2 linked regions of the Mus musculus genome follow. The protein of the gene in region 2 purifies or fractionates together with the protein of the main gene of each other region. This does not show direct contact. Links are inferred from orthologs where the notes say so. Each region holds a gene or a part of one and is shown on either strand. Other genes may lie near its edges.

Evidence for each region.
Region 1: the proteins of Ncoa4 (region 2) and Ftl1 purify together in Homo sapiens (co-immunoprecipitation; 3 studies listed by BioGRID and IntAct, counting the BioPlex papers as one, with this or other methods). This does not show direct contact. The link is inferred for Mus musculus from reciprocal best matches to the Homo sapiens genes NCOA4 and FTL.

The regions. Positions count from the first base shown.
Region 1 is NC_000073.6:45,454,317-45,461,670, reverse strand, and holds Ftl1 (ferritin light chain 1), read left to right. Parts: upstream 1-1,784; 5' UTR 1,785-2,039; coding exon 2,040-2,141; intron 2,142-2,440; coding exon 2,441-2,587; intron 2,588-3,010; coding exon 3,011-3,136; intron 3,137-3,387; coding exon 3,388-3,564; 3' UTR 3,565-3,727; downstream 3,728-7,354.
Region 2 is NC_000080.6:32,156,546-32,164,279, reverse strand, and holds the start of Ncoa4 (nuclear receptor coactivator 4), read right to left. Parts: upstream 4,394-7,734; 5' UTR 4,270-4,393; intron 1-4,269. Other genes in the region: Msmb (beta-microseminoprotein), read right to left, coding at 6,084-6,213. UniProt on the Homo sapiens protein: Cargo receptor for the autophagic turnover of the iron-binding ferritin complex, playing a central role in iron homeostasis. Acts as an adapter for delivery of ferritin to lysosomes and autophagic degradation of ferritin, a process named ferritinophagy.

The sequences.
Region 1 (7,354 bases), on a different chromosome or scaffold from region 2:
ATCCCAAGCACAGGCGCCAGGCCCACCTGGTATCCCTGAGGCTCCAATCAGGGACCCGCTCCATAAAGAGTACACACCGCAGCTGCAGAGCTGTCTTCAGCCCTGGGGACAGGAGCCTGGAATTCCAGAGATCCTGCAGATTCTGAAAGGACAAGATGGAGGGAGGGAGGGAGGGAGGGAGGGAGGGAGGGAGGGAGGGAGGGAGGGAGGGAGGGAGGGAGGAGGCCACCGGAACTGGAGCAGACTCCTAGATGCTGGATTACCAGAGGTGCCAGAAGGGAAGAGGAAGCCATTTTAAGGGGACTTGGTCTTTTGTTCCACCCTCAATCCCCCAGTCTGAGATTCTGCCACTCAAATTTGTGTACCTCTCTCCTTTCCTTGTCCCCTGTGGCTTCCGGGTTTTATCTTTTTCCACCTTTACAGCCTTGTCCAGGCCTGTCGGGTTGAAGGCCAGAGGTCAGGTTCTGGAGCACTGTGGTTAATGAGTAACTCTGACCCCCAAATCAACAGACCACCGCAGACGTCAAGTCAGGAGAAAGATACGTGTAGGCTAGCCACTCCAGAGCCGTACAGCTGCCTGACCACACAGGGAAAACAGACCACAAGCCCCTTAGCCGGGGGACTTCTGGCTGTCAGCCCGGGTGTGGCCTGCCGCCCGCCCCACTGCCTAGCTGAGCTCAGCGTGACTCAGCAGAACTGGCCTTGCTACCCCTTCCACTAAGGGCCTCAGCAGCACATTCTTCCTGCTCCGCGTGGCTCCCTTGACCCATCTTACTGTTTCTTCCTTTAGCCCCTTTTCATGATTGGGCTCGTTTCCCTTTGCTCTCTTCCCAGGCTTCTGAGATTAGACCCTGGTATGAGCCCGTCCTGTCCTCAAAAGTCCAGTTGGGCCTTGCATGCCCCAACTGTTCTGCGTAAGACTGACTGTCTGTTTCTGGGTCCTGAGTTCTTGCTCTCCCTAACTCTCGGGCCTTTTGATTCCAAAAGAGCAACCTGCAAGGAGGCTTCTGGACCAAACTCCAGGAAGGAGCCCAGCAATTCTCCAAGCGCCATCATGCGTGTCTGTTTCTAGAAAGACAGGTTCACTGACACAGACCCAGACAGACAGGCTGACCAGAACTCCAAAGTCCTGTCTGGGCCTCCACATGTCACCTTCCAGAGCACCCGAGGGAGGTGCACACACGGTAACCCAAGGCTCTCTGCCCACTCCAAGCCCTCAAAGGGCTTCACGACCTCCTGGGTTACAGAAAACAGAAAAACAAGCAAACAATCTTAGTTCCTATGGTGAACCTAAAACCCTATACTTCTGGGCATCCCTTCCATTCCCTCAAGGAGATCTCTAGAATCTTTGGAATACCAGACTTCCTCATGACGTGACATATCCCTTCATTGTGTGCAATTGGACATATGGAGGTTCCCTTTGCATTTACAGACATTACCCCACACTCAGCCCATCCCCAGATCCATGTTCTCAGGCCCCAAAATTCTCTTTTGTGAGACACCCAGAAAAGGACCTCGAAGTCATCCCCTCCCCAGGGTCTCAGTGACCCGGAGCCCAGAACCCTGCGACCCCTCCAGGTTGCGCCTCCGGATCCGGACCACCGCCCCTCCCCCAAGCCTCCATTTCACAAGGCCTCGCGCTCCAGTCCCGTGACTTCATCTCATGGGACTGGGTGGGTGGGGAGCGAGGTTCCCCTCAGCTCCGGATTGGTCAAGTATACTTTTCCGTCTCCGCCTCACGCCACCGCCGATTGGTTAGTCTCGGGCCTGGGGCACCCCTCCCTCCGGAGGGTCAACATGCTATAAAAGGAGCGCTCCTTGCCCGGGACTTAGAGCAGCGCCTTGGAGGTCCCGTGGATCTGTGTCTTGCTTCAACAGTGTTTGAACGGAACAGACCCGGGGATTCCCACTGTACTCGCTTCCAGCCGCCTTTACAAGTCTCTCCAGTCGCAGCCTCCGGGACCATCTCCTCGCTGCCTTCAGCTCCTAGGACCAGTCTGCACCGTCTCTTCGCGGTTAGCTCCTACTCCGGATCAGCCATGACCTCTCAGATTCGTCAGAATTATTCCACCGAGGTGGAAGCTGCCGTGAACCGCCTGGTCAACTTGCACCTGCGGGCCTCCTACACCTACCTCTCTCTGGTGAGCAGCTCGGGGTTGCCTTCTGAACGGGGGGGGGGGGGGGGGGTCCATCACACCCACCCTCCTGCGCATGCGCGGGCCTTCTTTGTTCCATGCAGGGCAGAGACTGTGCTCCGACCTCTCCCTCTCCCTGCGCGCTGTGTACATAGTAGTTTTGTCTGACTGGAACTCGCTGGGCAGACCGGGCTGCCCTCGAAATCTCACACGTACTGCCTCTACCTCTTGAGTGTTGCGATTGAAGTTTACAGTGTGAGCCGAGCCACCGCGTTCCGTTAACTCGTATTTGTAACCTCCCGCAGGGCTTCTTTTTTGATCGGGATGACGTGGCTCTGGAGGGCGTAGGCCACTTCTTCCGCGAATTGGCCGAGGAGAAGCGCGAGGGCGCGGAGCGTCTCCTCGAGTTTCAGAACGATCGCGGGGGCCGTGCACTCTTCCAGGATGTGCAGGTAAGAAGCGGGGGTATTGGGCACTACCGAGCATGTGCGTTTACTTGCCATCCCCATAGTTTGGGCATCCGGATAGACGTCTTGGAAGGGAGTGGTGGCAGGACTAGTGTAGACAATAGGAGTATGTAGAGCAACTAAACCCACCAGGATGTCAGAAACTGGAAAATGGGGGTAATTACAGAATACAGATGAGGACTGCTGGGCTGGGGAGAGGCGGTGTCTCTCTAGCTAGCATGGAAATCACAATGTAGACCAGGTTGCCTCCTATCAAGAGATCCTCCTGTCTTCTCGCCCAGTCTCTCAGTGGTGGGATTAAAGACAGTATCCCATTATTTTTCCCCACTGTGCCCACTTTTCCTGTGCAGTCAGTTTTATATTGGCTGGGTGAAGGATGTAATCTAGGCTTGATATTCTTGTGTGCAGAAGCCATCTCAAGATGAATGGGGTAAAACCCAGGAGGCCATGGAAGCTGCCTTGGCCATGGAGAAGAACCTGAATCAGGCCCTCTTGGATCTGCATGCCCTGGGTTCTGCCCGCGCGGACCCTCATGTAAGTACCTTGCTAATCATTTCTTCCCTTCTCTGACAAAACCTAGACTGTTGTGTGTTGGCTTTCAGCTCCCAATAATTTAATCCTCCTGCCTCCCGAGTGCAGATTGCAGAAGCACCACACACAGTACTGAGGACACACCTACCTACCTACCTACCTGCCCTTGAGGGCAGGATTTTTTTTTTTTAAAGCTTCCTGCTCACACCTGTCTCTTAGAACTCGGTGTCTGATGTCTCTTCCTTCCTTTACAGCTCTGTGACTTCCTGGAAAGCCACTATCTGGATAAGGAGGTGAAACTCATCAAGAAGATGGGCAACCATCTGACCAACCTCCGCAGGGTGGCGGGGCCACAACCAGCGCAGACTGGCGCGCCCCAGGGGTCTCTGGGCGAGTATCTCTTTGAGCGCCTCACTCTCAAGCACGACTAGGAGGCCTCTGTACCTTCCAAGGGGCTCCCCCCTCTGCTCTGCACCAGCCCGCCCTGGGACCTCCACCTGAATGAACCTCTCAAGCCACTAGGCAGCTTTGTAACCGCCCTGGAGCCTCTGTCAAGTCTTGGACCAAGTAAAAATAAAGCTTTTTGAGACAGCAGCTGGTGTTTTTTCTATATATGTGGGAGGGGTGCACGAGAAAGAAGAGGTTGGCTGTATGTACTCCTGTTTTTTGTGGGAACCCACATGTGATAACTTACAGCGATCTCTGTGTGGTAGTATCTGCCTTTTCATGTGGCAAATCCAGGTCGTAGGAGTCTGTAGCCTGTAGCAGTTTGCCAGTCCTTGGTTTATGTTACTGTGCAGGGAAGTGAAAAGGCTTAAACATCCAAGTTCAGAAATGAGTTAAACATACAAGTAGAAGGCCAGGAGGTGAGCAAGCTGAGCCCTGGGTGCTGGCTGAGCGAGGGTGGGGAGCCAGGGTGTCTTGCTGGATTCCGAACTAGATGCTGGGCCCATCAAAAAGAGGATGTGAAACTTGGGACCATTGCCCAAATGGGAACTAAACCATTGCAAAGGGGTTAGAAACATGGGAAGTTGGTGGGGTGGGGGGTGGAACACCGGACAATACTGCTGTGTCAGCTCACACTGGTTAAAACAAGTCCAAGGGTCGTATGAAGCCACATGATAGGCCCTTGGCTCAGTATTATGCCATGGCTCTGGGGAAGCAGTCATGTGGACAGGAAGATGACCCAGCACTACAGGTTTCTTCTAGTCAGGCCACTCCACCCCTAAAAGCATGAGATTGATAACGGGAGGGTTGGGGGTTAGAGCAGTAACTCCAGTCATGCACAGGTCACTGAGGCTAAGCAGGGAGAACCTGCTAAAGGGATTCTGGCAGCGATGTCCACGTGGGAAACAGCATTGAGAAGCAGGAACAAAGTCCTGCGGCTGGAATCCAGTTTCTCACTGTGTTGCGGGGACATTCTGCTTAGGGACATCTGTCCCGGGCTTTTCACTTTTTCAGGCTAGATCTCACCAATTGCTCAAGCTGGCCCCAGAAGCTCTAGTCCATGTAAGCTTTGAGCTTTGGGTCCTTTGACCTGTGCATTTGTGATTTCCCCAAGGGTCCCCCATGTCGGCCACCGTCTACCCAAGGTCACTGGGGCCAGTGTTTGCCACTTGGATCTCAAATCTAAGCAGTCAGATGTACCTTTCCTAACAACAGCACGGGGACCTCAGAACAGTAACCCAGATCTGCACAGAGTAGAAGTCTATGGAGCTCGTAAGAGCAGAACCAAAATCTGGGGGAAGCTGGCACTCCTGGTAATGCCAGCTCTTGAGAGGCTGAGATAGGACTGCTGTGAATTTGAACCATCTGGGGGGGGGGGGGCAAGGCAAGATCCTATCTGTAAAAACTAAAATACAGGACTGGGGAAGCAAGAGAGACCCACCACACCACAAGAGCTTATGTCCAGCCACAGTTGGCATTCTTAAATACAGGTGTATTTTCTTTTTTTTTTTTTCATCTCTAGACACACTCCAATCACACACCTTCTGCCCTCCCCCTCCCAAATGCAAACCAAAGGCACTGGGCCAGACACAGCACACGTGAGGAGGGGCCCGCCCATTCACTGAAGCTTGCAGGCAGAAAGGCCTCGAGGTACATGTGGGGCTTCAAGAAGCCGGTGGGCTCGGTTTTGTATCAGGAAAGGGGACCGGGGTGCAGCACAGTGACAAAAGACTCCTGATTCAGCCACTGGGACCCAGAACCCAGTGGTTTCACAGTGGGCTGAGCACTTGTGGGGTTGACAGACATTCTGCCCTCAATGGAGGCATTCCCTAGAGGGGACACTGGACCAAGGAAAAGAAGGTCTGGTCCAGAAAAAAGGCAGAAAGGTGTCTGGTCCAACTCCGCATGCTCCTTTGAAGAACACACCCAGGGAGGCCAACCTTGCAGCATGTCCCAGCATCGCAGTCGTGGGTTGAAATGGAGGACCGTGAGCATTCCACCACCTTTACTTTGCTTTTGAGACAGTGTCTCATGTTGCCCAGTTTGGCCTTGAACTCCCTATGTAGCAGAGGATGATGGCCTTTAACTCTTGATCCGTCTACCTCTACCTACCGAGTGCTGGGATTACAGATGTGTATCACCGCACCAGGTTTATGAGGTTCTAGAGTTAGATCCCAGGGCTTCGGGCATGCTAGACAAGCAATCTGTCGACAGAGCTACTGAGCTACCTTGCAGGCTGATTTTCAATTATGTTAATCCCTGAAATGTCCTAACTCTGAACTTGGCTGATTCGGGAAGCCACACAGAATCCAACATGAGGTGGTCCCAGAGGCAGGCCTGAGCAAAGCATACTCTGTATGATTATAGGATCAAACGAAGAAGCCACAGCCTGGAAGCCAATAAACCAGGTGTCCTAAAACCTCTGGCATTGAAAAACAATGGCAGATGCCTGGCCTCTGGGACCCAGTCTAAGCCTGGAGACTCCAGATCAGTGCACAAAGAATGCATCCTGCAATCCAAGAAAGGCACGGCGGCGTGGAGTGCGGGAACTCCAAGATTGGAGCTCAAGGGCTGGAGTGTCTGAAACAGAGGTTAGGCTATGGACCACACTGGGTAGGGGTCCCACTCAAGAGTCTGGAGTGGGGTTCAGGCACCCTCCCATCTGCATAGGCCCTCTGCGAGAGGAGCACTGGACAGGCAGGGAATGGGATGGGGGTGGGAGCTTAGTTGCGCTCCTCACCCAGGGAACTGGTAGGACTCAGGGGCTCAGTGGGTGTGCTGAGTGAGCTGGAGGGCCCAGTGTCCACCGAGTTGCTTCTCTTGCTGCCACCTGTGGAGGAGGAACAGGAGGCCCTGCGTGGCCACTCAGGTGCCCGGATGTTGCGGCGGTCCTTGGCAGCCTCCTCTTCCTCATCATAACGCTCACTGTCTTCCCCCAGGGGTCCATCCCGTGGCTCTTCCTCATCCTCACTCTGGTGTGGGCTGGAGTGTCGAGACAGTGAGGGCGACGGCGGGACGGAGGCTGGTCGTGGGTACCGGTACCCCTGGGTCTGCATACCCAGAGCAGGCACAAACCAAAATGAATGGGTGCCATTTAAGTCCCTAGAGGTGTCCACTAACTGTCAACCCCAAACCAGCCTGCCCCAGCCCTTCACTCCTGGCCCAGCGTCGATCCCGGCTCCACTTACCGCATCTACCTCATGGGGTTCATAGGTGAAGTGGTCTGGAAAGGCCTTGGCCAGAGCCATGTGGCGCGCAGACATGTAGTACTAGACAGGGAGGGCAGACAGCGTCAAGGACAGAGGCTACACACCTGGCTTCAGGCAGATAAACCCCCAGCACTTTTTTGTTTGTTTGTTTGTTTGTCTGGTTTGCTTTTTGAGAGTTTCTTTGTGTAAGTCCTGGCTGTCATAGAACTCTGTAGATCAGGCTGACCTCAAAATCACAGAGATCTGCCTGCCTCTGCCTCCCCAGTGCTTGGGATTTATTCAAGGCCATCAATGTCCAGCCACATTTTTTCTACACAAGCCCAGCCACACACCCCTCATTACTGGTGGACACGAGGCAGGGTCTCTACCACTGAACCACTTCTCTGGTGGATTATAGTTAAGGGTCTAAAACCTAAAGGCACGCCCAGCTCCCCTGCTCCACCACTGAGCCATGCTCTCCACCCGTCACTGCTGGAGTCCCCAGCAATCTTCACTTGGTAACACTGGTGACTTTCCTGCCTCATCCTTCCAAGTAGCTGGATGACAAACCTGGGCTGGTGGGTAC
Region 2 (7,734 bases):
TTCCTATACATATAAAGTGACTTTGTGGACATTAAGAGTAAAGCAAAACCATGAGAGAAGACTCAAACATCCCAGATCAGCATCACCTCCTTTACCCTGAAACGCAGTTTGAGATCCCAAGTCATACACTCATTACAAAAGGAAGACAGAAACAGCTAGTTCCAGATATCCTGTTTGGATAGCACATTTGGTGAAGATACAAAGATTAAATGAATGAAAAATGTACAGCTCTCTGTACTTCATGTCAGTGGTACATTTAAGCAAGGTAATGCCAGCAGGCTACAGCAGGAAAACCACCCTTCCCATACTGGGCTAGTGAGTTCAAAGCCACCTATATACACCAAGACCCTGTCCAAAAATACCAGGGGAAGGGAAATACAGCTAGTCTGAGTCTTGACATCTCCATTTTAGTAAACTAAGAAGTCCCTCTTTCCACCCTGTCTTGTCCAGCTTGGTTCTCCAAGTTCTTTCTGCCAGCATGCCACGTTAGTCCCTTCTAGCCGTCTGCTTTTCAAGTTATAAGCAATAGAAAGCCTTTCCTGGTCAAATACACGATTCTTCAATATTACCAGGCAATAGAACTGTCATGCTGCCCTCTTGTGCCTACTATCTATACAGGTTTCCAGTAAGAACCCGCTAACACAGTGGTTCTCAACCTCCTACCATAAAATTATTTATTGCTATTTCGTAACTAATTTCGCTACTGTTATGAATCATAACATAAATATCTGTTTTCTGATGCTCTAAAGTGACCCTTACAAAAGGGTCATTGACGCCTCGAAGGGTCAAGACCCACAGGTTGAGAAGCAATGCTTGAATACATGCCTCTCTTGTCAGGCCTGCTTTCTTACCCTGAAGGCTCTCCCAGCTAGAACACACAGCACTATACACACAGCTTGGGATCATCTGTACCTTGGCACTAACAACCTTCCCCGCGTGCTGTATGTGCAACAGAGTTGGCCTAAATAAGAAAAGGACCCGCAGCACTTGTACCAATGCTTGGTCTTGAACCAACCTGTGCTTTAATACATCTTTTATTAATGGATGAATAAATAATGTGTTAATGGTCAAATTCAGAGCAGCTGCAAAATAAATCTTTGTGTTATAAACATAATCAACTTGATGCTGTCCCCTTAAAACCTGTAGTATTAATTTAGGAAAGTAATTTAGAAGAGGACAATGTTTCCAACACATTTTCCCCCCAATATTGGAGGTACAACGCTGAGCTTTGTATATGCTAGACAACACTTTAACTAAGCCACGCCCTAGCCCTTAGTTTCTGACAGTTTCCTGTAGTTCAAGCCGGTCTTGAACTCAGTATTCTGCCTCTTGGTAGACCTTCTGGACTTCCAGAACCCTTGCAACAGCACCCAGAAAAACTTAATTTCTTGTTTTCAAACAATACAGAACTGATGAGGGTTGTCTCCACAGAAATCACAATCCTAGCATGAGTGCTGAGAAAGGCAGTTTTTAAAACTGCCAGACCCAAAAATCTTAGTTCCACAAACTCAAAATAACAATGGGCTTGTTGGTTAAAATGTGCACTGTATTTACAGCCAACTCAACATTTCCCCCCTCAGATTTTGCAGTAAGTACCACAGAAATTGCCTGAGGGACTAGCAATATAGCTAAAGTAAAACTCAAAACATACCTGAATTATTTTGGAAGCTGTAATTGTCCACGTATTAAAAGACTATGCTATACTTACTGACACAAGCTAAGCCCATTTAACCTACTCACTCAACACTAAACCAAAACTGCTCGGTCTGTAGGGCAATCAAGGCAATGCCAAATGGGAGGAACTACAAGCTCAAAAGCCCCAAGTGCAATCCTGGTCCCCCAGAAAAACATGTTGATTCTACCGCGCAATCAAGCCAAGCAAAGCCAACCTGGAGGAAGACAGTCATGAGCACCTGATGAGTGGTTCATGCTAGCTAAAAACAGAATACCTACACAGTAATTATTTAGCTCACTTGCCTGTGAATCTATCTAATTCAGGTATACAGACGATAAGCTTACAAATGATGTCTGAAGTGTTAGATTTAACAGTCACAGAAGGCAAGCTGAGGACAACTGACAGCCCCTCTAAGAGACAAGCATAGAAACAAGAGTACCACTGGTGACACACCTAGAGCAGAAGAGCTCAACTTAGCAACTCTTATAGGCTTAACAGGGTTAAATAGGATACCTGTAGTCACAGGCTTCTACACCCAAAAGTCTGAGTCTGGTTGCCTCTTAGCCTTTTGGCTATGATCTAGTATGAGTCTAAACCCCTCATCTGCACCAGGTATTTTGAAGGGGCCGTTTAAGGTTTATGTAGTCATTCAAGTATTTAAGGTCTTGAACAGAAAGGCACAGTGGTGTTGTTCCTGTGGAGACGATGGTGAATCTGCCATCTAGCAGAACGTTTGTGCCACTGATTCACAGACAACAATAGATTTCTGAAATAAGAAGCACAGGTAAAAAAAGGTGGCTAACAGGCTCAGTGAGTTGCTATAAGTACTGACCGGTGTGTTAACACTGTGTGGGCAAAGGCCCAGAAAGCTAGCTGAGAGACTCTCAAGTGCAGAAGGGGTGTGTGCCGGGACACCCAGAGTTCTATAAGACCTACATACAGATCCCTGGGACACAAGCAACCTGCACTGCTTTCATAAACTGGCCATGGGAGTCAAGTTAACTTCTAAAACTAGATACAAGATGCTTTAAGAAGCATCTTAGTTCATCTGTAGTTCGGTAATTTTCCTCAAAAGAATAACGTAACTGTAGAGACAGACACGTTCGTCATCATCAAACTTCAATCTGAAAACTTTAAATGTCTAGGTTATTTTCCGAAAGGCTCAAAGACCCAAGGGAGGAGGTAAAAAAAAAAGAAAAAAGAGATCTAAATGCAGGGACTGTTAGTGCCAGCAGCTACCCATTATCTCACTTAGCAGAACAATTCTTCGGGCGAGTAAATCTTGCAAAGAGCAAATCACCTGGGTGTGGTGGCACGTACGTCTGTAAACCCAGCAGAGCCAACAGGATCCCTGCAGCCAGTCTCAAGCAAACTAAACAAACCAGGCTGGAGAGATGGCCCAGTGGTTATCAAAGGGCCAGAGTTCAGTTCTTAGGGCCCACATCAGGTGACTCACAATGGCTTGTAAGGGGATCTGACACTCTTCTTAAACAAACAAAAAAATCCACAGAGCAAATCAAGCGACCTGCTGAGCAGTACAAATTAGTCTCCTGTTTGTCACACAGGATGAAATTCTTTCCAATGTTCTAATGTACTTTAAAAGTTCAGAAACATCACAGTGGGATGCTAACGGAGAACCAACAGCCTTACCTGTCCCATACACACCCAGGGAAGTAACTCAAAAGGTCTATGACCATACTCCAAATTACCAAGTGGGTGGAAAGTCAAGTCCTTCCAAAAGGACGCCAGGGTGGCAGGCCCTTACCTACTAAACAACACTAGCAGGAGAGCTGTGTGCAGGAGGGTCAGATAACTCCAGCCCCTCTGACTTGTCATTCTTGAGCCATCCTCCCAAGTTCCAGCCTGTAGCACTTAAACCCATACTGTTCCCACCGCAAGGGCTAAGTCACATCAGGGCCGGGAGCACGTCCACTTCTTTACATTACTATATCCTCAGTACCCTAAGCATATAGCAAATGAACGCCCGAGCTATGAATTAATGATTCTGCAAGCTCTCTCTTCTCATCAGCTGAAGGGACGAATCAAACGATTTAAAGGGACTGCTGGGAGAAGGAAACGGATAGTGGGCCTCCAGAAGTCATTCCACCTTGCCAAACCACTAGGAATAGGGGCAAATGTGCACTGGGTCAGTAATGGAAACCAGGCCCGCCTGGGACCAGAGAAACAGGGCTGTCACCGCTATAAACCCAGAGGACAGTCAGGGCAATGTAGGGAAAGGGATGGAAGAGAAGCATTCAGGCTGCAATCGTGGCCCAGGAACGAAACATGTCGACAGGACAGAGGAGAGAAGACAGATCCAGCGCTTGGGCATGAAGGAAAAGTGGTAGCGTCGGGACGAGGGGAGGGAGAGGAGCTCTGGCCTGGCGCGACGCGGGGACTGGAGAGGCGATCACAGCAGACGTGACCTGGGGAAGGGAAGGGCCATTGGGCCCCGCGTGCAGGCAGGTGGGATGGTGGTCCCGGACCCGAGGGTCGGGAAGAATGGAGGGGAGGGCAGGACAGGCCACAGGCCGGAGCGAAGAAGGGCACAGGGCAGAAGAGGAAGCGCGCCCGCCGGCCACTCTCGTCCTTACCGGCTGGCAGCGCTCCTTCCGGTGATCCGAGCGGACCTTAGACCGACCCAGACACTTAGCCGTGGAAGGATCCGGACCCTGAAGACAGAGTTCTCGCGATAGGATGGCCTCCCTACCACGCTTCTCGGTAGTGTTCTGACAGTCTCGCGAGATTTCCTTCCGCGCCTGCGCAAAGTCTTCTTAGAGCTCAACGTGGAGGCATGCAGTAACACTCCCTGCCCTTAGTCTGGATCATTTTCGTGCCTATCAGTAAGTCTCTAATCCCAGCACTCCGGAGGCAGAGGCAGAGGCAGGCGGATTTCTGAGTTCGAGGACAGCCTGGTCTACAGAGTGAGTTCCAGGACAGCCAGGGCTACACAGAGAAACCCTGTCTTGAAAAAAAAAAAAAAAAGCACTTCCTGTTCTTGCAGAGGACCCAGTTTTGGTTCCCAGCCACCTACAGGATGGCTCACAACCACCCATACCTCCTGGTTCCAGTGCCTTCTGACCTCCAAGGGCACCAGGCGTGCACACGGTACAGATGTATATATGCAGGCAAAAAAGAGTCATGCAAATAAAGAAAATAAACTCTTTTTTTCCTCTGGGGTTTGTGGTGGTTTGAGTAAGAATGGCCCTCTCGGGCTCACGTGTTTGAATGCTTACTGATGAGAAGATGGCTCTACTTAGAGTGAGTGTCCTTGTTGGGGTGGGTGTGGCTTTGGGGGAGGAAGTATGTCACTGGGGGTTGGCTTTGAGGCTTCAGAAGTCCAAGCCAGGCTTAGTGGCTCACTCTTTCTTTCTGCTGCATGTGGATCTGGATGTAGTACTCTGAGCTACTTCTGCCTGCAGGCCACCCTGCTTTATGCCATGCTGATAATGGACAAAGCCTCTGAAATGGTAAAGATGGCCCAGGCAAATGCTTCCTTTTGTAAGAGTTGCCATGGTCATGGTGTCTCTTCACAGCAATAAAACAGTGACTAAGACAAGGCTGATGGGCTTTATAACTTAGGAAAAACATGCTACATTTTTTTTTAAATATTGAGTAAATAAATGTCAGAATTAATGTTACAGTTTCAAGTCAGTGTATTTTAGCTGGTCTGTATGCCACACCTAACTGACCCTAGAGCTAGGCCCCACCACCCACAGAAGTCCGGCTTCTGAGTTTCCTGTCAGACTGCGTGAGGTCTAGAGAGCCCCTTCTCCAGTATCTCTAACCTGTTCTAACCTTATGCAAACACAGTGTGATGTGGGGACTCGATAAAGAGGGGGTACCTAAGTAACTGGAAGGAAGGATAAATGAGAGTACCAGGGACAAAGAAGAAGTCTGGTTTCATCATGAACACACATGCTTTTTTCCATTGTAAAGCAGAAACAGATGGTTCTGAGCCACCATGTGGTTGCTGGGAACTCAGAACCTCTGGAAGAGCTTCGGGGCTCTTAACCACTGAACCACTTCTCTAGCCTAAACCAGAAACAAGATGCAGGCAGAAGAGCCTTATTTGTAGAAGTGGTGGAAATGGATGTGGGCCCCATAGGAAAGCACACATGCATGACACCTGTTGGAGCTCAGGAAAGATGCTGTAACTGGTACCTGGTATTGTTGGGTTGATTTGTTTGGTTGTATAACATGCATTAAGTTAATACAAATATGGTTGGCAAACTTGTTTACTTGTTTACTTGTTTGTTTTTTTATTTATTTGAGTTTTTCAAGATATGCTGCCTCTGCCTTCTGAGTGCTGGGATTACAGGTCACCTCCTTGCAAGCTTATGATTGGTAAATTTAAATCATACAAGGTTCAAATGTTACTCCACTTTTGGGCCCACACGAAGCACATTTACATAGTCCAGCTGTCAACTCGACAGGTCTTCCCTGGGTTCTTCCGATCCACCACACTGTAGGTGCAGTTCTCTGGGTGGAATTGTACATCACAGTTGTCTTTGTCATAGCTCAAAGGCCTAGTAGCGCTGTCAATGAGACAAGAAAAGACGTTAGGAAGGGAGGAAACATTCACCCAGCCCTACTGCTCTGTGCAAGAAGCAGACTACACACATTCCTGTCTCCTGGAATGTAAGGGCATCACTTGGCTAGAAGCATTTGTACCTGTTTGTGCCATGGAGTCACAGAGACCATCCCTAACAAGGGTCCTACATTCTACCCTGCATGCACTGAAGGACACTGGGAAGTTCTAACAGGCCAAAGGCAGGGCTAGGCCGCTCTGGGACGGGAAATCTTGTACTAACCTTGTCTTCCCAACCCTCCCTGTCCAGGGAGTGGTCATCGATAATGGTGCTAGACTGTGGGAAGAGAAGGGTTGTCCCAGCTCTGTGTGGTATCTAGTTAGAAGAGGAGCTCACCCAACCAACAGGGGCAGAGAGCCATCCCAGACCAGGGTCATGGATCCCAGGGAGAAGATAGTAGAAACAAAGCATCATGGGAAAACCCACCTGCACATGCAGGGGCACACGATTTTAGGAGTCATTGCCCTCAAAGCCCATCTATAGGCTTGGGACATGGTGGCATGCAGCTATAATTACAGCACTTGGAGGTAGAGGCAGAAAGATTAGAAGTTTAAGACTAGGCTCTGCTACACAATGAACTTGAGGCCAGTCTAGGCTATGAGAAACCTTGTCTCAGCAAAGCTACAGGCTAGAGAAATGTAGTCCGTGGTTAAAAGCAATTTCTATTCTTTCAAAGAATGGGAGTTTGGCTCTCAGCACCCTGAGGATACCTCTAACTCCAGCCCCAGGGAGTCAACACCTTCTGGCTTTCATGGGTAATTGCATTTCTGTGCGTAGACATCCACGTAGACAATACGCATAAATAAATAATAAATATTTTCCTAAAGACCAAAGAATAAATAAACTGCTCTGGCTAAAGTGTATAAAAGCAGCCATTTCAATGCCCTGTATAACAAAAAAAGACCCAGAATTTTATCCTAAAGGAAAAGGACATCTGATTCCAAGAACATCAGAATTTGCAGCCCTCCCTGGCCATGCAGAGAGACACTGGCAGGAAGTTGTCTCACAATTTACCAGGACACTGGACACTCAACCCAAGCCTACATGGCCCAAACCCATGGGAACATTGTCCTGTGAGAGGAAGGCCCCAGTGACATGTAATCTTCTGGTTTGATTCTTTGTAAAGCTAACAGCAGATTACTTGTAGTATATAACATTTTGAAGACATTTGATGAGCTAGATGCTACTAATGCAGAAATAGTAATTAGGTTAAAAAACAGAGCACCAAATAGTACTATAAGCAGTAATGGTGGTGCACACCCCTAATCCCAGCACTTGAGAGGAAGAAGCAGGATGTTTGCTAGATCAAGGGCAGCCTGAGTATATAGAATATGATGAGATGTGTTTCAAAAAATCTTTTAAATCCAATTTAATTTGCAAAGTAAGTTTGACATGTAGCTGTAAAAGAAAAAAATGTATAAAAAAGAAAGAGAAATAAATTATTATCAGTTCCAAAGGTGGGTCCAT